Linked DNA regions of Lepisosteus oculatus. The protein of the gene in region 1 purifies or fractionates together with the protein of each later gene. This does not show direct contact. Links are inferred from orthologs where the notes say so. Each region holds a gene or a part of one and is shown in the gene's direction. Other genes may lie near its edges. The genes, in order: lrwd1, orc5 and orc4.

What was found.
Region 2: the proteins of lrwd1 (region 1) and orc5 purify together in Homo sapiens (affinity purification with mass spectrometry; 4 studies listed by BioGRID and IntAct, with this or other methods). This does not show direct contact. The link is inferred for Lepisosteus oculatus from reciprocal best matches to the Homo sapiens genes LRWD1 and ORC5.
Region 3: the proteins of lrwd1 (region 1) and orc4 purify together in Homo sapiens (affinity purification with mass spectrometry; 3 studies listed by BioGRID and IntAct, with this or other methods). This does not show direct contact. The link is inferred for Lepisosteus oculatus from reciprocal best matches to the Homo sapiens genes LRWD1 and ORC4.

Annotation. Positions count from the first base shown.
Region 1 is NC_090721.1:1,366,241-1,374,085, reverse strand, and holds the start of lrwd1 (leucine-rich repeat and WD repeat-containing protein 1), read left to right. Parts: upstream 1-4,590; 5' UTR 4,591-4,596; coding exon 4,597-4,676; intron 4,677-5,244; coding exon 5,245-5,479; intron 5,480-5,809; coding exon 5,810-5,929; intron 5,930-6,125; coding exon 6,126-6,272; intron 6,273-6,976; coding exon 6,977-7,087; intron 7,088-7,571; coding exon 7,572-7,845. Other genes in the region: alkbh4 (alpha-ketoglutarate-dependent dioxygenase alkB homolog 4), read left to right, coding at 85-195, 1,124-1,318, 1,985-2,491. UniProt on the Homo sapiens protein: Required for G1/S transition. Recruits and stabilizes the origin recognition complex (ORC) onto chromatin during G1 to establish pre-replication complex (preRC) and to heterochromatic sites in post-replicated cells.
Region 2 is NC_090702.1:48,312,118-48,320,452, forward strand, and holds the start of orc5 (origin recognition complex subunit 5), read left to right. Parts: upstream 1-4,721; 5' UTR 4,722-4,788; exon of another isoform or gene 4,789-4,793; intron 4,794-6,424; 5' UTR 6,425-6,425; coding exon 6,426-6,539; intron 6,540-6,723; coding exon 6,724-6,816; intron 6,817-8,335. UniProt on the Homo sapiens protein: Component of the origin recognition complex (ORC) that binds origins of replication. DNA-binding is ATP-dependent. The specific DNA sequences that define origins of replication have not been identified yet.
Region 3 is NC_090707.1:2,791,528-2,799,435, reverse strand, and holds the start of orc4 (origin recognition complex subunit 4), read left to right. Parts: upstream 1-4,271; 5' UTR 4,272-4,387; intron 4,388-5,248; 5' UTR 5,249-5,267; coding exon 5,268-5,324; intron 5,325-6,727; coding exon 6,728-6,804; intron 6,805-7,568; coding exon 7,569-7,659; intron 7,660-7,667; exon of another isoform or gene 7,668-7,881; coding exon of another isoform or gene 7,882-7,893; intron 7,894-7,908. UniProt on the Homo sapiens protein: Component of the origin recognition complex (ORC) that binds origins of replication. DNA-binding is ATP-dependent. The specific DNA sequences that define origins of replication have not been identified yet.

The DNA of each region.
Region 1 (7,845 bases):
ACACTGGAGGGCTTTTGTGGTGGTGCTGTGTGATGATCGCTCCCTGTTGATGGTCGTGTTTACACCGTGGGATTGTCGACCTTTATGGCGGACGAAGAAGTGTTACAAGCCAACTGTGCCTGTAAAGGAATCCGCTCCTGTCTGATCTGTGAAAATCGCAATGGGAAACTGGACAACCGGATTAATGTACAGCAGGTACGATGTCACACTGTACGTGTACTGAGAAGTTTCATACACCAGATTTCGCTCTTTGGCATTATTTAAACTGTAAAATCAAGTTTCAGAATCTCTACTTTGTTTTGATCATTACATTCGCCGCTACAAGGATACCTTAAAAAATGAGCTGTGGGATTGTATACAACTAATCCATTTAAGAATGCTTTCAGTCCGAATGGTAAAAAAAGACTTTACCCCCTTTTTAATGTACTCGATACATTCATGACTAAATAATACACTCCATTATCAATCATCTGAAAATATAGACCACCATCTGGTAAATGCAGTTCACCCTACAGTTAAGAGAAGATCTGAAAAGTTATATTTGCACAATTTTTCATTAATAAATGGAAACAGCAAACTGATGTGCTGTATAATGCTTTGAGATGCAGCTTTTTTCCATGTGATTCTTTGTTTTCTATTCAGCATCATTATTGTTGGGATACTTGTATTTATTAAAGCAATTTTTGGATAGAATCCTGGGGAACTGGATTTGGACACAATCCCCAGCAGATGGGGCCATAAAATAGATCTTTATACTATAGTAGCTGGACAGTTCCTGACTGCAGAGTTGTAAAGCACTTTCTGAATTCTTTTTTTGCTGTTGTTTTCCCCTGATAAAAAATGCCTGAAGAGATTGGATTCCCCGACGGTCTCCAGCACTCTGTTGGTGCTGTTCTCAGATTACCCCTCTCCTCCTTTAGAAGACTCTTAAATATTCCTAAACATTCTTGTTTTACTCGTGAAGGTGTTAAGATGTATAGCACAGCATTAAAGGGGGATTTGTGTTTGTCTGGGTTTGTATGCGCACGTGTCACGTGTCGCTGCGTGGCGGTAAGGCCCTGCGGCAGGTCGTGAGCGAGCCGTGCAAGGTGTGAACATCATGGCGGTTTCTCTGGCCACACAGCCGCGCCGGGTCTTCGTGTACGAGCCGTCCTCGGGGCTGGCGGTGAGAGCGGAGGCTCCAGGAGTCCAGGAGTCCTTCCCGTTCCCCGGGGTCCTGCTGTGGGAGAACTTCGTGTCGGAGGCGGAGGAGCAGGAGCTGGTGAGCGCGATGGACCGGGACGCCTGGAGGGACTCGCAGTCCGGCCGCAGGAAACAGGTCCGGTAGCAGGAGAGGCGCTCGGTGACTCGTGTCTTTTCTCCGTGTGCTCTTTCCCCCAGCGACGAGTGCTTCTCTAAATGAACAGCACTCTCCAGGAAACGACATGCACAGCTGATTCATGGAAAAACCCTGCATCTGCTTTTTTACATCCTTTATTGTCATTATGCGGGGGCTAATGATATTATTTTTTCCCACATACATAAAAAAGAAGCAGACAGTGTTGAATTACTTTTTACATCATTTGTATAGTCTGTTGCATCTTTGTTCCTATCACATGACTGAGAGTCTCAACATAGCTTTCCAGTTTTGATGATCTTTTTACAAATTGATGGCTAATTCTGTGGGTATTTCTTTCCATGAGATAGATTTCGTTCCTAGAGATCTTCAACATCTGAACGCTAGGTCTGTCCAGCTTCGACTGGTTTCTGGTGATTTGGTTCAGGCCTGCGATTCAGACGTTACCCAAGGGGCACTTTTCTGCCTCTGCTGTTCGTCCAGAAGCAGATTTCTAGGGTCCAGTTTAAATCTCAGAAAATCGTTGATATTTCCGCAAGCATCTTTCCCCAGTCTCTGCGTCGTGTGGGGTTTTATAAGAGACGTGTCTTTCCGCACCGTCAGACCATCGTTCTGTGGTGCCCCAGTGACTGTGCTCCTCCCCCCCAGGACTTCGGGCCCAAGGTGAACTTCAAGAAGCGGCGGGTGAGACTGGGGGGCTTCAGCGGCCTGCCCCCGTGCAGCCGGGAGCTGGTGCGCAGGATGGGCCGGGCGCCGCTGCTGGGGGGCTTCCAGCCCGTGGAGCAGTGCAACCTGGACTACAGCCCCCAGCGCGGCTCCGCCATCGACCCCCACCTGGACGACGCCTGGCTGTGGGGCGAGCGCCTGGTCACCCTCAACCTGCTGTCCCCCACGGTGCTCACCATGAGCCGGGAGCGGGCGGGGGCGGGGGGCGTGTGGGTGCTGGTGCCCCTGCCCCGCCGGGCCCTGCTGGCGCTGTACGGGGAGGCGCGGCACCAGTGGGAGCACGCGGTCCGCAGGCAGGACATTCGGGACCGCCGGGTCTGCGTGACCTTCCGGGAGCTGTCTGCGGAGTTCCTGTCCGGGGGGGAGCAGGAGAACCTCGGCTCTCAGCTGCTGGACGTAGCCCTCAGCTTTCAGGGGATCCCAGTGTAGCAGGCCCTGGGAGTCCAGCTGGGGCGGAAACCTTCTGGCCTGGAGCCCAGGGGTGTGTGGCCCAGGTGTTCGGATCTCCCCGAGAAGATATTCCATGTGCTTAGCTGAGATCCCTCTCTTCTGTTGTCTCAGCTTGATTCTGAAAGAAATTGTGTTCAGCTGTTTGTACGTGCTTGACTGTATTTATTAAACTGTTGATTTGAGGTCTGAGATGAATCAGTGTTCTGTCTGAACGTCCCGTGGTGGATATGGAGCCTACGTGCACGCGGTGGTTTGAGGGAGTCTTCGCCTTCTGAGGAATGTGGTATTTTGTTTGGTAAAACTAAACGTTGTAGAGGAACAGGATGCTGAATGGTGAAACACAGAAATTTCAAGTGTGGCTATGACCACTTCACTGCTGCATGAGGAGGTCAGACCTGGAGTGATTACTGCACAACAGACAGATAGATCCCAGTTTTTTGTGCTGTGATGTTCATGTTCCTGCTTTTGGAGGTGGCCTGAGGCTTTGTTCTCCATTATGTTCGTTGAGAAAGGTGTATAGTTCATGTGTAAGGTTGTACGTAGTTTAAGTAATTATATTAGTGGGTGTTGTAATTATTTTTAAGACGCACTGGCTCACAGATGGAAACTGAAAGGAAGTAGTTTAAGAAAAATACTAAATGCTTCTTTGCGTACAGAGTTGTCTGTGTCTGGAACAGATCTCCCAGCAGAGTGGTTGAAGCCCAAACTCTGGCTTCTTCAGGATGCAGGACAAATTTACGGTTGGCGACCTCGTTTGCAGCTTTTCTTACGTTTAAACATTTTGTCGTTATTGAATATAATTAGAAAGAGCAGGAAAAGCAAATTAATTGCCGTCAATATCATGCAATCAAACAGAAAAATAAAGCACTGCAAATTAGTTGATAAAAAAGATACGATTCTTATTTCATTTTCCCCCTCGGGTTAAACCATGTGACCTCATGTACGTCTTTGCCACACACAAAATGGCGGAACTGCTGTGCTAGGTGTCGTCATCGGTCCGGGTCAAAGGTGAAAGTTTAATTTTCCCGGGAAACTTTTGCACGTCTACAGCTGGAAAGTAAGTTTATCACATTCCTGCAAAGCCTCTTGCCTTTTTTTAATTCGCTGCTTTAACCTTTGTAATCATCGAATCGTTCAACTGGTGTGTCTCTTATCCGGAATCTGACATTGTTAAACCAATCAATCATTTTTTGAAAGTATGAGTGACTGAAACGTGTTTGGTGATGGAATGGGCAGATGATACTCATTGTGTATTTTTTTTTTCTTGGAATTGAAATCGTCGCCGGTGCTTAGGGGTATTCATGAAGTGCTACTGGCGGAAGTTTTGAGATGCCTATTTTATGTATACACGCAAATTAATGTTTCACGCACAGCACATTTGCTTCAAAGAAATGGGTCTTTCAGTCTGTTCATAAAATCATGTGCATATCAATTAACTGTAAAGTGCATTAGATGTCTGACAGTTTAATGAAGATAACTTTAATATCGCGAAGTTTCTCGCAGATGCAGTAGTATTATATACAGTATGTGATCGGTCTCGCCATAGTCCTTTTGCGAGTTTCATCACAGCAGGGGCTAATTTTTGGGGTTGATTGCGAAAAGCCGTAGTCGAAACGAAACGACTAAGCGGTGCCTTTTGTAATTTAAAGTGAAGATAATGTCCCTGTATTCTTCTCATTGGGGGCGTGTTTCATTTCTTCTTCTTCTGCAGTCACATTTCCTACAGCTTGGGCACCCGGCTTTTGAGATGCAAAGTTGGTCGAGAGGTGTTCTTTTTTTAAGCACCCTGCGTTAGGGCTGACTTTAACGACTTTCGCGAAAAAGAAAAATATGGTTTCACGCCCCTTTTTTAAAGCCTTTAATTTAAACCTGAAAACACCTTTAGAGTTCCCTCTGGCTCTTTTGTTATGAGGTGATCTCTCGCTTTGTCCCCACGTCTCTGGGGCCCCGGCCTCTAGTGGGCGTCACGCACCCGGGTGCAGCTCCGCCCTAGCGCAGTGGTGCCCATAGGCGGAGGGGTGAGGACTCACACGGCCGTGCTGTCCGTGTCTGTGCAGGCGACTGCGAGCTGTGCTGGACCGGCCATGTCGAAGATCACGGAGAAGCTCCTGCTGGAGAGGGGCTCCCCCAAATGCGCCAAGCTGGAGCAGGTCAGGAGGCTGAAGTAAGTGTCTGCTCTGGCCAGGTGTCTGTTTCCCCCTCTCTCCAGCGCTCCCACTGCCAGGCAGTTTGGGCTGTTCCAGGGTTTTTTAAACCTGCGGGCCACAACGCTGTTTTGAGGGAAAACAAAAAAAGTATTTATGCATCTTACTACAAGTAGCACAGTGCTACTTGTTTAGAACAAAACTAAAATAGGGTAATTTACTATAAGGTCACAGCCTTGAAATTCCCAACCTGTGGTCTAAGTTTTTACGGGATGATAATGTTTGATTCCATAAGCAGTTTAATTGCTCCATGTGATTTGTTTTGCAACAGTGGGGAGATCAATGCAGTTCCAGCGTAGCCCCACTCCTACCAGTTTATTGGTCATTTTCTAAATTAGTAAACACTTGAAAATTGTTTACATACTTGTCTGATTGGGTCCAACAATTACTCCATTTGTTATTAAAAGATTTGTATAAGACGAATAAAAAAGAGTCCTGTGGCCCAGTGTTGCAGAAATGCTTTCAGACCCCACTGTGCGTATGGAGGTGTGGGTGTTCCTGGGCCTGACCCCCTGCTCGTCCCCACAGCCTTTCCGGGCTGGATCTGCGCAGTGCGGACCTGCCCCTGCCTCTGCTGTCTCGGCTGCGCAGCCTGGAGAAGCTGGACCTCTCCAGGAACCGTCTGCAGGAGCTGCCCGCCGGTCTGCAGCTGCCCCGCCTGTGCTCCCTCGACTGCTCCGACAATGAGATGGAGGACGTGCTGTCACTGCAGTCTCTCACTGCCCTGGAAGAGCTGAGGCTGGAGGGAAACCTGTACCTCACTGTAAGGCTCCAGCGCGGTCATGGTCACACACAGACACGTGCTCATACAAACCCGTTAAACAGCACTGCTTCTGCCGTACCCTGCAACTAATCTAAATCTCATTCAGTTAAATCTGAATCAGTAAAACATACTTTTTTATGTAGTATATTTCAGGAAAAGTAGGTAATGTAAATGTTGTGTGTTTTAAAACTATCTCCATTGCAAATGGGGGGGGAGCACAACAATAATAGATAAATGTCTGCAAAGTTAAAAGGCTTTTACACACCTCGGTGTATGGCCATGTCTGGATGAGAAAGCAGATTACCAGAGCCTGCTGTGTGTTTGTCTCAGGTCAGCGACAATTACAAACTGATGTTCCTGCTGCCCAAACTGCGCATGTTCAACGGCAAGGACGTCGCTTCCTCGGCCAGTCACCTGCGCCACGTCAACAGCGCGAATCTTCGGAAACGGGTAAGCGTCTCGAAGCACAACGGGGGAGTCTGAAATCAGCTCTCGGGAGGGAGGGTGTTGGGCAGTGTTAAGTCCTTACAGGTTCCTGCAAACCATACATGGATTCCTGGATGTTTCTGAAGGGCCGTTTGCAAGAATCGATCGGTTTGTGTGTCTGTCTGTGGAAAAGGTGTCTCAGGTCTTCTCCTCGCCTCAGGTGGAGGCACTGTGGGAGAGCAGCTTCCGGCCGCCGGAGCCTCCCACAGCCGAGAGGCTCCAGGCCCTGGAGAAGGAGTTTGTGAAGGCAGCCCGCTCGCAGATCAAATACGGCCCCAGCTCCCTCAGCGACTACACCACCTGGCGGGTGAGTGGCTTGCATTCGGCACAGCTTGGGTTTCCTGCCTTTTGTGAGCTCTAGCTTTGAAGGTGTAGAAGAGGTCTTGGAGATGCTGTGCAGTAAAACTACTGGGAATACTTTCGCTCTTACGAGATGACTGTGGTCTTGCCAGATGTGAGGAGCTCAGGAAGGCTGGGCTGAAACGGGAGACCTCTAAGGTAAAGCAGACTGATGTTCTAAGTGGTGCTGTTGGAGGACAAGTGGTTGACGCACTTCCTCCTGGAATAGTAATTTTCCAGTCCAGTGCCCCAGTATGGAGACTGCGAACACTGGTCTTCAGAACCACAAGATCCCATGGCAAACGTTAAAAACTTTAAAGATCCCATGGCACTGTTCAAAAGAGCAAGAAACTTACAGGTGTGTAATTTGTGTTTGTTTTGTCCCCTCGCTCGTATGGCCAAATTCTGTTTTTTAGAAGCTAACTAAAATCATTCAACTTGAAAAACGTGGAAAATCAGGTCTTCCCTAAAGATCTGCCTTAATTCGTGTGGCAGTTTCTCCCTCCTCCCCTGGACCTGGCTGCTGTGTGTCACCCCTGTGTGTTGCCTTCGAAGTGAAAGGAGCTTTGTGATCGAGAGTTGGGCAAATGCAGTTACTCACAGCCAGGGGGTCCTGGGGGTTCATTCGTATCCGGATTTCTCAGTCCTCGCTGTGCCTGTTGTGTCTTCCAGCTGGAGGGGATTGCTAAAGAGCTGCTGCAGACGCTGGCACAGGGGGACAAGGAGGAGGGAACCGAGAAAAAGCAGGCTGAGCCAGACGCCGTAAAAGACAACACAGGCGCTGTAAGAGTCTTGTTTTATGTCTTGTAAAAGTATTGTTTTATGCAGTACTTCTAACAGAGCAATTTACCCATCCATCCTTTTCTAAGCACTGATTCCCAATCAGCAGAGCCTATCCCAGCAAGCAAGGGGTGAAAGACAGGACACACGGACACACACACACCAGGGCCAATTCTCCCAGAATAGGCATGGCTGTAGACTGTGGGAGGAAACTGGAGCATCCAGAGAGAACCCACACAAACCTGGGAAGAACATGCAAACTCCACACAGATAGCACCTCAGGTCTGGAATTGAACCCAGAGCCCCAGCACTGCGCAGCAGCAATGCTGCCCACAGCAGCACTGTGCTTCCTTTTGTTCATCTGGGCGAATGTTCTTTAAGGCTGTAAACGCAAGAGAGAACTTCAGAGGGTTCCATTATTTTGGGATGACGCTTCTTTTAGGGTCTTGAAAATTGAACCCGTGTTTCATTGTGTGTTTGATCCAAGGGCCCCCGCACCCCTGCGAAGAGGAAGGGTGCTGCCTCCAGTCCCAGCGAGGGGGCCCTCAAAAAACAGCGACAGGCTGATGACGCCCCCCCCAAAGCCAGCCCCCAAAAACCATCCCGCTTGCAGACGGAGCCGGGCCGGCCCAAGAGGACGATGGAGAGTCCCGGGAAAGAGTCGGTTTCGGGAAGTCCACGGAAGAGCCTTCGTACCGCCAACTGCCAAAAACCCTCAGCGCTTTCCCGGCATCCTGGGACCCCTACCAAAGCTCCCACAA
Region 2 (8,335 bases), on another chromosome or scaffold:
CACCAGAAGGACAGCATTTGTTTGTGGGGCGTTAGTACCCACACAGACTGCATGGTGAGTGCCCTCTGGTCTCCCATCCAGGTACTGGCCAGGCTCACACCTGCTTAGTTACAGTTAGTTACAGGAAAAGTCTAGTTGAAGTCATTTCTGCTGAAGGATGATCTAACAGTTGTTGATATTAAGGGTTTAACAAACGTCTTCACTGTTGGATCTGTTGGATCATTTATTATCTCCAAATACTGTGTATATTTTGTCCTTGTGTTATACATTTAATCAGGTTATCTTGATCCTTTATTAAGACTTTCATGAAGATCTAATTATGTTTTAGGTCTATATCATTGTAACGTCCCAGTGTGTGTTCTGTGTGTGTTTTTTTCTGTTATGTCCACACTGCTGACCCTTGATTATTCTCCCTTCCCCATTGGCCCACCATTACACCACACTTTCAGTATGATGTCATCATCAATTAGCTCTCAGCCAATCAGAACACATCTTATTCAGCCTATAACATGGAGGTTTTCAGCAAGGAGAGGCCTTTTGTTTGACTTTGGTCCCGTTTGCTTCTGGTTATTGCTTCGGCTTTGTTTGTTTGTTGGTTTGTTTTGCTTTGTGTGTGTATTTTCGTATTAGCTTCGGCTTTGTTGTTTTGTTGGTTTTTTGTTAGTTTCTTTGTGCTTTTGTTTGTGTGTGTTCATCCTTGTTTTGCCATTACCTTGCCCCACTGTTACATGTTCAACTTTTGTGTTCTTTTGTACCCTGCTCCTGTTGATTACTCTTGTTTTCCCTTATTTCTATTCCTGGTTCACTTGTGTTTTTGTGTGAACTTTTGTATATAAGGTTAGTTTAGGTTGTTGGGTACACTTTACACACTCGGTTGATTTTGTATTAGTACACTAGTTTCGTACGGGTGAGTGCCATTTGTCTTGTATGGTTTTGGGTAGTCAGTTAGCTAGGGTGTTGAAGACGCCGAAGACCGTGTTTTGGGTTTTCTTTTGTAGTCCGATTAGCTTTCCCTCACTGTCCTAGCCAGCTCCATTTTGTTTATTATTTTCTTTCCTTTGGCACCACTTTAGTTGCTTACCCTTGTTATCACGCTTCCTAATCCCTCACCAAAACCCACCTGCTTCCAAAAGAATTATCCTAAATGTTACACCCCTTTACCCCTAGACACTTGGGGTCGTAGCAATCATACATGGGAATGCGTGTCTGTGTATAGGCCCACTGACTGGGATTCACAATCTTTTTCCCAGCACTGCATCGAAAGCCCAGCTACCTCTCATTATCTTTAAATCAACATAACTCACACTCATGTCATTTTCTCATTTGTGTCAGAATATGCCCACACAGCCATGGATGAAAGACTTAGTCAATGACCAACAGGATTTTCACACAGGGTAGCCTTTTTATGGTTTTGAAAAGTCTTTTTGAGGAGGCCCCCTCAGCGGGTTTCCCGGATGAGTCAGTGGAAATTCACCTCTGTTTGGGTGTGAGGAAGAGAGAGGCCAGCTGGCGTAGGTTCAACCTGGATTCCTGCACACCATTCCTGTAAGGGGAGCTGGTCCAGGCTCCCGTGAAGCATAGTTCAGGACCCTATGCAGACGGTATGATCCGGAAGTAACTGGAGAAGGACAGCAGGGAAAAGACGTTGAGGATCTGGAGAATGGACTGGAGTAGAGGACAATGGGATGGAACTGAATGTTGGGGCGTTAAAGAATAAAACGCATCTCAACCCTAATATTTGTTTTTTAGGGAACATCCCACCCTTCTGTGCACGCAGCTTGACAGCTCCTGACTTTCACACGGTGAGATTCAGAGATTCAATCTCTATTGTCTATTGCACAGCTACGCCTTTACTGAGAAAACCCCCCGGCGCAGAGGAGAGAGGCTGAAGCAGCATAAACGCCAGTGAAGCGGCAGCCGTCTGGAACTTGCAAGGGACAGCAAGGCTGTACCCCTCAGCTGCAGGGTGCGTTTACTGGGCTCCGGATCGCTCTCGTTTCCCAGTCCTCAATGGTGCGGCAGTATGATGTATACAAATCCAGAGTCGTCATTTATTATCCTATCCATCCTACCAATGTGGAAAATCACCCGCTGGATCTTTGCCATCTGGATCCCAGAGGTGTCCCCTGCGCCCACAGGGGGAGAAGGAGGCAGTACAAAGGGCTCCCCTACCCTGCATCGCCCCCTGCTAGGCTGTTCCTTGATTCACATCCTCTGAGTCAGAGGGCAACTCATCTTCTTGCAACCAGTTGCTCTGACAAGCTCTGTTCGGTGGCTCTGGTTCACAGTGGAGCTCCTCGGATACTCATGGGGTTTCTAAGTTTTTTTTTTTCCTCAGTGGAACCTTTTTCCTCCCATGTGCTGAAAGAAGCCGTGGAATTTCGAAGGCACGTCTTTCGCAAGAGCAAGGGGTGGTACAGTCCGCAAGAGAAATTACATTTTTTTAATCCAGCACTTGCACTGCAGAGGAACATCATTTAATGACGGGCAACAGTTGAGCACATTGTGCTCTGGGCTGAAAAGCAATAGACGCCCCCTCCAGCTGCTCTAAGTCTCTGGATCCTGAAAGGCTCTGACAAAATCAAGTCAACCCAGCAGGTCTCTTCGAAATTCCCAAAGGAGTGTGGGAGTTCTGAAAGAAATGAGTCTTTTTACTCCTGAATGGAGAAGACTACAAGGGGACCTGTTCCGCGTGTTCAGTTTTTTCAGCCTGGCGCAGAAGGACATAACTTTAATTCCAGAAATGTATTAGGCGGATCTTCTCTGGACTGATTCAGAGCAGCCATATCTAATTTGTAAGGGGGCAGCCAAAATTGTACACAGTATTCTAAATGGGGCCTAATTAGTGCATTGTACAATTAGGCCAAAGCTTGTCGCTAGACGTCTACAGCCTCTCTCTCACAGCACATGAGCAGCTTGCTGGCTCCACAACAAAGTCTCCATCTGAGACTCTTCTCAGCTCTCACAGGTTCAAGTCAGCAGCTATATCATCCTGCAACTCACAACTGGCAGTGCACTAAAGCTCAGTACGTATGAGCCTGACAGTACCTGGATGGGAGACCTCCTGAGAAAAACTAAGGTTGCTGTTGGAAGAGGTGTTAGTGAGACCAGTGGGGGGCGCTCACCCTGCGGTCTGTGTGGGTCCTAATGCCCCAGTATAGTGATGGAGGCACTATACTGTAAAAAAGGCTCTGTCCTTTGGATGAGATGTAAAACCAAGGTCCTGACTCTCTGTGGTCAGTAAAAATCCCAAGAGTAGGGGTGTAACCCTGGCGTCCTGGCCAAATTTCCCATTGGCCCTTACCAATCATGGCATCCTAATAATCCCCATCTATGAATTGGCTCATCACTCTGCTCTCTTCCCTACTGAGAGCTGGTGTGTGGGGAGTGTACTGGAGCACTATGGCTGCAGTCATAATCAAGGTGGGGCTGCACACTGGTGGAGGGGAGCCCCCATTACCTGTAAAGAGCTTTGAGTGGAGTGTCCAGAAGAGCGCTGCGTAAGTGTGAGGAATTATTCATTATTATCATTCTGTCTAGGCAACCGTGGGGGCAGCTGGTTTGGACCCCATGCAAGACCGCAGCAGAGTAATCCTGGGAAAAGTTCCAAATTAGTTACCAAATCCAAGAAACGTCAAGCGATGCCGTAGATCCAGGGATAGAGCAAGAACTTCAAGAGCCGAGAAAGACGATAAGGTTTAGAGTATTCATCCAAAGGGAAAAGCGGGAAGCTCAGCAGTGAGCGGAGTGAGAGGGTGTAAGTAGGGAGGAGTGTGTGTGGAATGATAATTGATTAATTAGTGCAAGGAGAGAGGCGCTCGTGGGTATGCGGTGACGTCGAAGTGCTCATGTGCGGTTCATGGCAGCTTTCTTCTGGCCAGTTTCCTCCACTTTGAACTTTGAACCCCTGGAGCAGGGGAAATTGTTGCCTTTATTTCATATAGTGCCTTTTGTGACCGTCACAGTTCCTGCACAGGAATGCTTGATGCCCTCCGCCACCCGTTTCGGCCTGCAACACCTGGGGCGCGAACCTGGGTCTCCGGCGTAACGCCACAGGGAACCAGCCGCATGAGCTAAAGGGGACCTCCCTCAGCCCAGGCTGCTGAGGTCCCTGCTACGCGCAGGGAGGGCGATGACGTCACCGTGTCCGAACTAGCTCCGCTACACTTTCATGGTGCATAATCTCAAAGCGCCGGTGTTTTCTCAGCCCTTTGTCTCTCATGGAGTTAACTCTCAAATCGCTGAGGTCCAAGGAGTAAAATGCTCTGAACAATATTGGACTTTAAAGTACTTAAAAAATCAGCATAGATCCGTGACACGATTCCCTTTGATGTTGTATCACTATAATAAGTCAATCCCTGCAAACTGTTGTCTGTTTTTTAGTATCAACCAAGATTTTCCAAATACTATATCCTTTTATTTTTATCCAAATCTACTTGATGAAACAGTGTACCTTTCAATTTGGTTTTCTGTATATATAATATCTATTACATAAACAAGGATATATGTCCTACAGTTCATTATTTTATATTAATACAGTGCAGTATGAAGTCATCTCTACAAGCATGCGTTCTCTGGGAATTTGTCAGCTGTCTTTGGGTCGTTCCAAGCATATCCTAAGGAAAGACTACAAATCCCAGAAGGCCAAGCAGCCCGTGGCCTCCAGACGAGCTCTGATTGGCCACTTTTCTGTTGTCATGTGACAGGAAGGAATTTGAGCTCTAACCTCGGCGTGGCGCGAAAGCATGTAGCAGCAGGGAGACACTGGGGGAATTGCTGAGAGATCAGGTGCAGTATGTGACGTTGTTTTGTTTGACTGAGCAATATTAGCTCGTCCAAACGTGGTGCATAAAAGCTTCGATACTGCCACATTATGTTATCACTTAATAATTCAGCAAAGCCCTTTGCTATTTAAGAATTTGTTAGTATAATTTAAAGAAACACCGTTAGATTCGGTGAGCAGAGACTTCGGCTCTGCAGAATAGCTACAACGGGAAGCGAGACCGTAAAGAGCTCAGCTTGTATGCTGGCGGTACCGCACTCGCTCCTGGGACAGTGGTTCCCTGTGTGAGAGCCGTGACAGCCGAGTCGGCGCAGGAGTTTACTGTCGGGTCCGAGTCAAAAACCGGAGAGGCAGGGACAGAACCAGTGGTGCAACTGAGCTCACCGTTAGCGCTATGATATGGCGGTCTAGCAGACAAACAGGGTTTCTGTGACGGGTGTCTGTGTGTGCGCTGGAACCGCAGAGGTCTCCGCTGGTGTGATCTAAATGTTTCGGCTGCACTGTAGCACTCCTGCCTTTCCGATACAGTAAAACGGAGCTGAGTTCATTTCCACCAGTCTGTGCACCGGCGTTTCGGCGTTACTGATCAGAGCTCCATCGACAGCAGTGCGTCAGTACAGTGCGTCTCCCTTTCAGTAAGCAGCCTGATGTAAACTCACTTGTTTGAGCGGTCAGTAATGAGTATTAATATGCTAGTATATTATCTTAGACGTAATCGTATATAAAGGACGCCTGCTGTTTTCCACATCCAGTACGCTGAGACTCTCTGAGTCAACGTGTCTGTGATGCTCACTCAAAAACCTTCAGCTCTCCAGCTGGTCTTTTTTACGCTTGTTCTATACAGCTTCTAAAAGGAGCAGAAATGTATAAAGACAACAGCTACTGTATATCACCCTGTACCTCACACCTGGAAGCCCCTTGAAGCTCCGCAGGTGTGAGCCTGGTCAGTACCTGGATGGGGGACTCCTGGGAAAGCTGAGGTTGATACTGGAAGTGGTGCTAGTGGGCCAGTAGGGGGAGCTCACTCTGCAGTCTGCGTGGGTCCTAATGCCCCAGTATAGTGATGGGAACACTATACTGTAAAAAAAAAGGCTTCATCCTTGGGATGAGACATAACACAGGTCGTGACTCTCCATAGGTCACGAAAAATCTCGGGGCTTTGCTGAAAAAGGGTAGGGGTGTTAATTCTGGAGTCCTGGCCAAATTCCCCCCTGGCCTTTACCAGTCGTGGCCTCCTAATAATCCCCATCTGTGAACGGGCTCATCACTCTGCTCTTCTCCCCACTGAGAGCTGGTGTGTGGGGAGTGTACTGGTGCACTATGGGTGCCGTCACATCTTCCAGGGCTGTACATATGGCGGTATAGCTCTTTCGGCGGAGTGTCTGGAAGAGTGTTTTAGAAGTGTACGGATTATGCTGTGGATGATCAAGGAGTCACCTGGGCTTCACCGTGAGTGGACCGCAGTTCTGGTGGGGTCCAGTAGGGGGCGCAGTCTCCACACTGGAGAGCAGTAAGGGCCGTGGGAATAAAGGGTGGAGGCGGGGGAGCTGGGGTTTGTAGTCTCCCCCCCGTGTGGCCGCCTCCCGTGTCCAGTGTGTCCTCACCGCCGCGGGCCCCTCTGCCCCCTGTCTGTCCCTGCAGGATGCAGGCCCAGCTGCAGCACCCTGGCTACCCGGCGGCGCGCCTGCAGGTGGCGGAGGAGGCCGTGCCCTGCCGAGAGGCGCAGGCGGCCGCGCTGCTGGCGCTGTTCGGGGAGGTGAGAGGATTGGGTGGCGTGTGCGTGTGCGTGTGCGTGTGCGTGTGCGTGTGCGTGTGCGTGTGCGTGTGCGTGTGCGTGTGCGACTGGCGCGTGGCCTGCGTGCCGGGGTCTGGGCAGGGCGGGGCAGGTGTCGATCAGCGCCGGCCCTCAGCCCCTCTTCCTCCCTGTCCTGTCCCTGCAGCCCGAGCACTACAGCTACCCCTCCCTCTTCCTCTACGGACACCGGGCGACTGGGAAGAGCCACGTCACGCTCACCCTGCTCCGAGAGCTGCAGGTAGGCCCGGGGCGCCGCCGGGGCGGCTGGGTTTGGGCGGGGAAGGCCTGCACTGGGATGGGGCTTGGGCAGGGGCAGGGGTGGCCAGGGTGGGGTAGGGGCAGCTAGCCAGGGCCTGGGGCAGAGACAGGGGCTGGGGTGGCCAGGGTGGGGTAGGGGCAGCTGGCCTGGGCCTGGGGCAGAGTCAGGGGCAGGGGTAGGGGTGGCCAGGGTGGGGTAGGGGCAGCTGGCCTGGGCCTGGGGCAGAGACAGGGCCTGGGGTGGCCAGGATGGGGTAGGGGCAGCTGGCCTGGGCCTGGGGCAGAGACAGGGCCTGGGGTGGCCAGGATGGGGTAGGGGCAGCTGGCCTGGGCCTGGGGCAGAGACAGGGGCTGGGGTGGCCAGGGTGGGGTAGGGGCAGCTGGCCTGAGTCTGGGGCGGGGGCAGGGGTGGGTGGCTGGGGTGGGGTAGGGGCAGCTGGCCTGAGTCTGGGGCGGGGGCAGGGGTGGGTGGCTGGGGTGGGGTAGGGGCAGCTGGCCTGAGTCTGGGGCGGGGGCAGGGTCAGGGGTGGGTGGCCTGGGTCTGGGGCAGAGACAGGGGCAGGGCCAGTCTGTGCCCAGCTCACTGTCTCTCTCCTACAAATCAACGTTTAAAGTCCAGGAAAGGTCATCGGCAGGACTGGCCAGGCACAGTGTCATCACAGGACAGCGTATGCAATTAAACTGGAGTTTGCATGAACAATACAATGAATATACTTCTGATCTTCTCATTTGTCCTGAAACAAGTGCACGTCCACATATCCGCTGTGTGCACCTAATTGTGGGTCGCCATACGTGTGAACATGTGCAGTGCCCTCCAGAAGTACTGGGACAGCAAGGTGTCTGGTATTGTTGCTTACGGTCGGGCCATTTCTATTTGTGATCTCAAGATGGAAATGAATAAGTGCAATCTGAATTTACACTTCAGTTTAAAAACGCGTACGTGTTGGGGGCACACTTTGCTCTACGTACGTTCCACAGTGGAAAGTCAGGGTGTGAACGTGGCGGTTCTGCGTGGGCTCGTGCCCTCTGCCACCCGTTCCGTCCCGCAGCACCTGGGGCGCGAACCCGGGTCACCAGCGAAACGCAACAGAGAACCAGCAGCCATATCACCCTGTAACTCACAGCTGGCAGCCCACTGAAGCTCAGCAGGTGTGAGCCTGGTCAGTACCTGGATGGGAGACTCCTGGGAAAAACTAAGGTTGCTGCTGGAGGAGGTGTTAGTGGGGCCAGCAGGGGGCGCTCACCCTGCGGTCCATGTGGGTCCTAATGCCCCAGTATAGTAAACAGGCGCCGTCCATCGGATGAGACGTAAAACCGAGGTCCTGACTCTCTGTGGTCATTAAAAATCCCAGGGTGTTTCTCGAAAAGAGTAGGGGTGTAACCCCGGCGTCCTGGCCAAATTTCTCATTGGCCCTTACCAATCATGGCCTCCTAATAATCCCCCTCTATGAACTGTCTACATTACTCTGCTCTCCTCCCCACTTGTCATTCCCACTGAG
Region 3 (7,908 bases), on another chromosome or scaffold:
ACCTTGGCTTCCTTCCTCGGATCAATCATCTACTATCAAATGGGCTGGATGCGGCATATGGCCTCCTCTCATTTGTAACCTTTCTTATGTTCTTAAAGCTTTTATATACTACCATTGGTTAATTGAATTTGCTCACTGGCACAAGCCGTGTACTGGGATAGGAAAGGTAGAAACATCACGTGTGCACGTCCTGAGACCAGCGAGTACCAGGAGCCTTACAGCACGAACGGCACAGCTAAGGTCTCAGGTGGAGATTACGAGGCCCTGTAGGCCCGCCTGCCCCCCGCCAGCCAAAGGGGTCACTGTCGTCCACTCAGCTCATTGACTTCAAACCTACTGGCCTCCCCTGCAGAACCCGAGCCACAAGTTCTGGTCACAGTCGGCTAATAGATTCACACCTGCAGGACCTGGGCTCCGAGAAGCTTTTATCAGCCGTGCAGCTCAAAAAGCTCTTTCCAAGGACTTCAAACAGTGGGACGCCGATCTTCTCTTCCCAATTCTTCACATTAGGAATGAATGGTAGATGTACATAAAGATCCATACTTGTCCTTCCCCAGGAATTTAACTTTGAAAGTATTTGAAACACACAATTTAATTACTGTAATTTAAAAAAAAGGAAGGAATATACCTTGACAATAAGCACATCAAACAAAAGCTACCATACAGAAACGGATGCTGGATCAAAATCTGTTTAGGTCTGCTGAATATTTTGAAACCAGTGTTTTTATTTTTTACCGCTGTGAACCATCTTAAAATAAGCTAAAATTGTCACAATATCACAACAACATGTGAATACAATTCTGAGTGAATTTTGCCATGATACACAGATAAATACACAGATTACCCTGTAGGTTTTCTGACAAATCTGGCTACTTCCAATTTCTTAAAACAGTCTTGCTTTCTATTACATAGAATTATAATCAGACATATCATACAAAATCATTAATTTCAAATTCCACAAAAGGATGAAATTAAAGTCAGCTTCCCATAGTACCAAGAGAACTCAATGGCAACCACCACTGCCAATGGGTTCAGTCAGAGAAAAAACGGAATGCGCTGAGCTGTCGTAAAGCGCCCCAATATGAAATCTAAGTGGAACACTGTGTATGACTGTGACAGAGGGCTGTAAATGACACCCCAATAAATGTTGCTGATCTACCAGCAGCAGTACATGGCGCTACAAGCCAGCAAGGACGGCATCTGCCTTAACAGCTGCACTGGGAGTGTGGAAATTTTACAGTCCAGGCTAAAAGAAAAGAAGAAAAATAGCCCTTTGAATATAAACCTAACGCAGACTCTAATCCCCGCTCTCAATAAAGGTTGATCAAAATGTGAAATATGTGGGTGCAGAGGATCTTAAATCTGGAAGATGAATCACAGGAGGAAACCTGAGCAGCTGATTCTATGCCACACAGACAGTAGTGTATCTCGGCTGCTCTTCATCACACAAGGCACAGCCCACAGTCACTGCAAAAATACACAAAAACAGCTGGGAGACACCCAGCTCCTCGCACCTCTGCGGGAAGATGTTAAAGAAAATAATTACTGGGTGCGGCCTTGACCTTCTACAGCGATAAAGCAGAAGAGGCACAAAATGCCTTTCATTGTGGAAACCGATTCTGGGGACAAGCGCCGCTTCCTTACAAAGATGACGAACCCCCTGTCCAACATGCAGGACTCATCCTGTCCTCGGACAGAGGCATCCTCATCGCCGCACCTAGCCCTCGCGTTTCTTCAGCATCAGGGTGCACTAGCTGTACACAGCATCATACGTATGGCGAGACAGTACGGTGATCCAAGTTATGAACACACTGACTGCAGCCTATGGCTTGGCTCACATGTACAGATGCACTTCAGTGTTTCCCTGTCTATTAACTGACAAGGCCAGGTGAGGCTAAGCCAAGAATCACACTGATTGCAAGGCAGTCCCTTGCTTTCAGATGCTTTCCATATGACTGGCACGAAATATATGAAAAAAATACAGAAAGGGAAAAAACTGAGGTTTTTGTCAACTATAGCTCGACAGGCGCCCAGAGGACCAAAATCTATGGATACAGTTTAAACCCACCTACCTAAGAGATTCCAGAAAAACAGATGTCAAAAATAAAAGTCGAGTACATATTTAGTATTCATTATTTATCTCCAGGATTAGGAAAATGGCCATCTAAACTGAACAACCTACTAATATAAGAAAAAGCAGGCAGTAATGAATACAAAACACTTACAAACATGCGAACGTCCTGTACAGCTGTTTACCACTTTCCTGAGGGAAATTCCACAGAAGTACATTTCACGTGTGCCCAAGCATTGATGCTGTAACTTAACCTCCATGATTGTACCCAGCTGCTCTGCCGTAATAGGTCATGTTTTATGTTTTTAATAGTTCTGCTGTCGAAGCAAGTGAATATCATTAATAACAATAACATAAATGGTGAACAATGTTTGATTATGTTAAAGGACATGGCGTCTATGGGAATGGTCTTATATAGGTCTACCCCCAGAGAGCACACACCTGTAAAACAATTGCTCTCTCACACACATTTTCATTATAGTCAATGATCCTTCGCTGTTCAGTATTCGGTACAGCATTAGCTGAATTTCAGACGGTAGGTGTGAGATCACCCAACTTTCTCTTCTTATAGGAAAAGCCAACACTATATCAATAAGTTCTGAAGAGAAATATCTAGGCTATTGATTGGGTTGTTGGTACACCTCTTCATTTTCTGAATGAGACAGCTTCTTGTAGTACGATTTGCATTCACATTTAAACCACTTGCTTCGATTTTTCCTTTGGAATTCTTTTTCACCAACCCGGGCATAAGAAACCATACAGGAGCCATGCCTAACTCACAAATCACACAATTTAACATGGCTTATCCATCACATGCACCTTGCATGAAGGGATTATAAAAAAAAAACAGTCTGCCAAGAATAACTCTAGAAAAGTCATGTCATAGAAAAAACAGCAACATCTTGATCCACATCATGGAACTCGCCTTCACTGTGAAGTCCTGCTGGAGCGGCGGCAGAGGACAGCCGTTTACAACATCAATATTTGCATTTGGAAACTATGAAAAGGAGAAACAACGCCGTGGACAGCTAATGAGAGGTTTTAATGAGCAGCAGCTGAAAAATACCTGAGATACAGGCAGCCGAGGTGTCGGTCAGGAGACTAGGGCTCAGGCTGGTTTTAATCCAGAATTAGCTGTGCCCGTTTACAACCGGTGGTATGGCATCCAATGACTCAGAAGTAGACAACCTAACTGCGAAACAGTGCTGTATGGGGCCACTCGGATGTACACAAACCATTTAACCGGGCTAAATTTCATTATCTTCACAATTAAACTTTTTATATGGCCGATGAAAGCTTCCAGGAGATCTCCCGAAGCCCCGGTCGGCCTGAGCCAGGTTATTTAATCACGCAGGGCTTCGGTACATTGTAACGGGAACACCGATCTACCGCTTTTCGTGATATTTTAATTTGCTTGATAAAATCCAAATCTCAAGGAGGCGTCCACATCCCCTGCCAACTTCAACAAAATGCACCTTGACTGTTCAAAGGAAAAAAAATACCATTTAAGAAAAAAATATTTAAATATAATCTGTGGCTGCGTGTAGTCTTCACAGCAATATTCTGCAGAACAGACAGCCCCAACACCAGAACACATAAATAAAATGCATTTTCAGACACTCAGGGCAAACAGGAGCTGAAATTTAACATTTTTCAAAAAAATATATCCAGGAATTAAAAACGCGCACCTACCTCTGATTATCTTCCATCGCCAGAGAAATTGAAATTACAGGCAGAGTGACCGAGAAATAGCGAAGTTTTTATTCTCTGTGTGAACTGAGAGGTCTCTGCTCAGAAATGTCTCCAGCCAGGGCCAAAGCACAGACACAGGGAGAGGAGAGGGTTGTGTTGCTAAGAAGAAGCAAGAGACAGAGAAAAGGGCTTTCTGGATTGTTCTCCTTAATATAAAGGCCTAAGACCCTTTTCCTCCATTTTTCCTGCCCCCGTTGAGTTCCTGGGAGGCTAAGGGCGGCGAAACGGAAGGTTTGAGCTGGTTAAAATGAGGTTCTGTCCCTTTAAAAATAAAAATAAAAAGCTTCCCCATCAACTGCTGCTGCTGGCTCTCTCTCTGGGCTTGTTGGGATAGAAAGATGGAGCTCTTCAGCGCGCCTGCGCCGCAGCTTGGGGCCCGGAGGAGAGGGGTGTCCCGGCATGCACGGTAAAACCCAGCGGAAGCGACGGGCGAGCCTGCCGGAAGGGCGCCGCTGACGTCACGCGCCGGGTTGAGAGTTCAGAGGTGATCGCAGGTGCTGGTGGTGGGTGACTGCGGGAAGAGCAGGGATGGTCGGGATTTAGGGACTGAGCGAGAAGTCACAGGTAAAAAAATTATATATATCCACGGTTTCTCAGGTTCACCGCCTTTCCTTTCCCTGTGAAATGAGTCCGGGATGCGTTTTAGATGAGGGAGCTATGCAGCATCTATGAAAGCACGCTCAGGCTCCTGCCGTTGAGGTGCTGTAGTGAGGAGACTGTAAGGTAACATTGCGTACAGCACAGTATCCGTGTGGTGGTTGTGTTCTTCCCAATGAATTGTAGCGCATGTGAAATAAACCCTGCATGTATTTTGCAACCCAGACGGGTTTTCCCTGTTTGCCAGGTTTAAAACATTTTCAGCCCGCTTAACAGTTCTGGCAAGAGTGTAACGTCATGCCTAGTTAAGCATAATTGAAGGCGAAGGCAAGTCTGGCGCAGTCAGGTTCGTGCAACTTTTCAACTGGCAGGTCGGAGCACAGCACCGAAGGGCTGGTAATTACAATTCAAGATAAAGACGCGCAGTCACGTTTCAGACATGCCGACGTGTTCGATTAGGCTCTCAAAGATAGCTTCTTCAGCTCATAACTTTTCCATAGAGTCCAGTTCAAGAATCGGGTTAACAATAATGCAGCTCACAAGCAAGCAATAACCGTCTTTTGTTTTGTATCTAAAATCTGAAAAGTCAGTCAATATAGTTTTCGTTCTAGACAAATATTTGTCGTCGACAAGGTGAGAGCCTGGTAATTCATCTGAATGTAATGTACTCATCGTGATGAAATCCTGACTTTCTGGAGGAGGCAGGTTTTACCACTGTGCTCATTTCGCTGACGGAGGTGTCAGTTTGCCTGTATCCATTTGCACTGTTTATCCTGCAGAAGGGAGTTTGCCTGCCTGCTGACCTCTAATGTCTTTTTCCTTCTTTAGGCACCAAGGTTATGACATCATGAGTAAAAGAAAGTCTAAAGAGAGCACTTTAACACTGGGAGAATGTATTTCTCAGGTTTGTATTTTTTATTGATGATAATTACCGTTGGTACCAGTTTCTTCCATTTTAAATAGGTGGACAGGTTTTTGCTGGGACTTCATCTGAATGTATGGTGAGTTCGAGCCAGAGAACAGTTAAGTGAGGAAAATAAAGCAGCCTCTTGAGTAGGCACTACATTATTTAAGGATTAGTCTGACACATCTGGACTCCCGCAAAACATTGGGATTGTGTAGATCAGAAAGATAAGAATGAAGTGAAACCATGTGTTGCATAGATTAGTTCTATCTGCAGGATCGCTTATCTGCGATCAGTATTTAGGTCATGCTAGCTTTGCATCTGAAAGAAGTTCTTGCAAGTAGAATGTTGAAATTTGACTTACATCAGATACACTAACTTCCCTTCATCTATTTTCTTATTCTTAGTTTCTGCTGTGATTATTGCAGATTCACACTGTTCCTCTTTGTTAACAATGATAATTGACTCGAAAAAGCCCATGCGAATCGCAGCACTTTTCAAAGTGTAATCTCCGTTCTAAATCTGTGTTAGTGTGATCCTCTGATGTCTGTGTATTACTTGTGATTGTGCTGTCTGCATCAAAAATTCGCAGAGGATCTTACCAGATAAAATGGGTACATTTAATACTATTTGTATTTCTGAAATTCTGCATAGTTAAAGTATTTTTTTTGCTTCTTAGAAGCTAAATTTGTCTGATCTTGTCAGAGTACATCCTCAAGGATTAGTTGTTAGGCTGTATAATCAGAATGTAAGAACGATGGAGCTCTAGAAGTTACCACCTGCTGCAGCTCAAGATGTTCGGAGTGTTCTGTTCTGAGTTTGGCCTGAGGGGCATCTAGCTCTATTGCCTTATTTTCTGAAGGCTAGTTTCTCAGTACTCATTGTATACTTTGCATTCTGTATTAAATGCGTTTCCCATGACAGTAGATTGTTTTATATACTAGTGGAATTGTTTACTTATTTTCTTAGTGCCTGACAGATGAAAACCTTCTTGCAGAATATGTGAATCTGTTGGATAGGATTAGTTGCTAAACTATAACCTTTATGTTTTTGCTCAGTTGCTGTTACTGTGCCTGCCAGGTATTCCAACATATAAAATATGTTTTGATTTTAATACATACATTTGATTTTTTCTGCTTTATAGAGGCTATTAATAGCCAGATAATGTATCTGTATGCCCGTATATCTGTCTGTCTTTTTTCTGTCGGCTATATTACTGAATTTTTCAGTTTCACCTCACTTTTCTTTCTTATAAATATTTGTACATTGTGAATCGTACAAAAAAGAACAAGTGATTTTTTATACGATATTATTACTATTTCATCTGTTTGAATGGTTTGCCAATCAATAAAGACTCCCTTTGTTGCTGTGAAGTTTAACGCGTGCTTTCTTCTCGTTTTCAGGCTCACAAAATACTGAGGGAAAGGTGCTGTCACCAGAAACTCCCCAGCAAGCCCTTCGGAGTGGAGTCCCAGTATGAGTAAGTGTTTTGATTGCCCTTGGACTGTATTCAAATGCCTTGCTTCCTGAAGAGCTTGAGTGTCTTCAGCTCGCTAAGAGCTTAAACAGCACTTGGGTCACTGAATACGATTCCCCAAGTTTAACCATTGCTGCCAGCCTGTTCTGTAGCATAACACTTAATTTTACCTGCTCTCGTTAATCATAAATAGTGCAGTTATGTCTGTCGGGGTAAGGTTGTCAAGTCTTTAACCTGTGAAGGACAAACAGATGTACAAAATTGTAATTGCTTTATATTAGATGTTTTTGTCTCAGTATTTTTCTTACCTTTTCCTTCTAGAAACAATTTCTCTTTTTATAGCTGATGATTTTGAATTTTCACGGCCCGTGATGTAGTTTGTAGTTATATGCAAGGGAAACAGCAGATCAGAGCCATTGGGTCTATGTCTGAGCTATTTTGAGGAGCACCACTGCAAACTGTGCTGTTGTTGTGTCCTCATTCCCATGGAGAAAATGCCATGATTATTAATGGTAGCAATTGACATTGGTCCTTCAAGTTGTCACTTGCTTAGAAAGTGAGCCAAGGGATTTAATAGGAGGATGGATTGCAAAAGCAGGCAATGGCACTTGTTTATCGCTTGCTCTGGACTCTCCCAGGGTGCTTTCCGCTCCCACGGTGAGGCTTGCATTGCACCTCAGGCTGGCCGCCTTTCTGCTGCGGAAAGTGTCATTTCTTAGCCGAAGGACACGGGTGGAGGCGTCTGACACTGGGCTGCGTTGTTTCAGGCACCTGCTGGAGCTGCTGAGGCGAACGGCTGTCCATGGAGAGAGCAACTCTGTCCTTATCGTGGGCCCCAGGGGAGCAGGGAAGTCCATGGTACGAATGTAAAGAGCCAGCTCTCAGACACCCCTCCTGCAGCTTTTGTCCTTTGTCCCCACCAAGGCTTTTCTTTGCCAAGCGTCCGCTGCGACGTCTGGAGTGAGACGTGCAGGTAATGTGGGCGGGGCAGCAGAGGGACACGCCCGCAGGTGACAGCCTGGGTGCCTGTTTCGCACTGAAACTATAGAAGAGTGCGTGACTGCAGGCCAGGAGGATTAGATGATCAATTGGGTGAGAGACACTAAT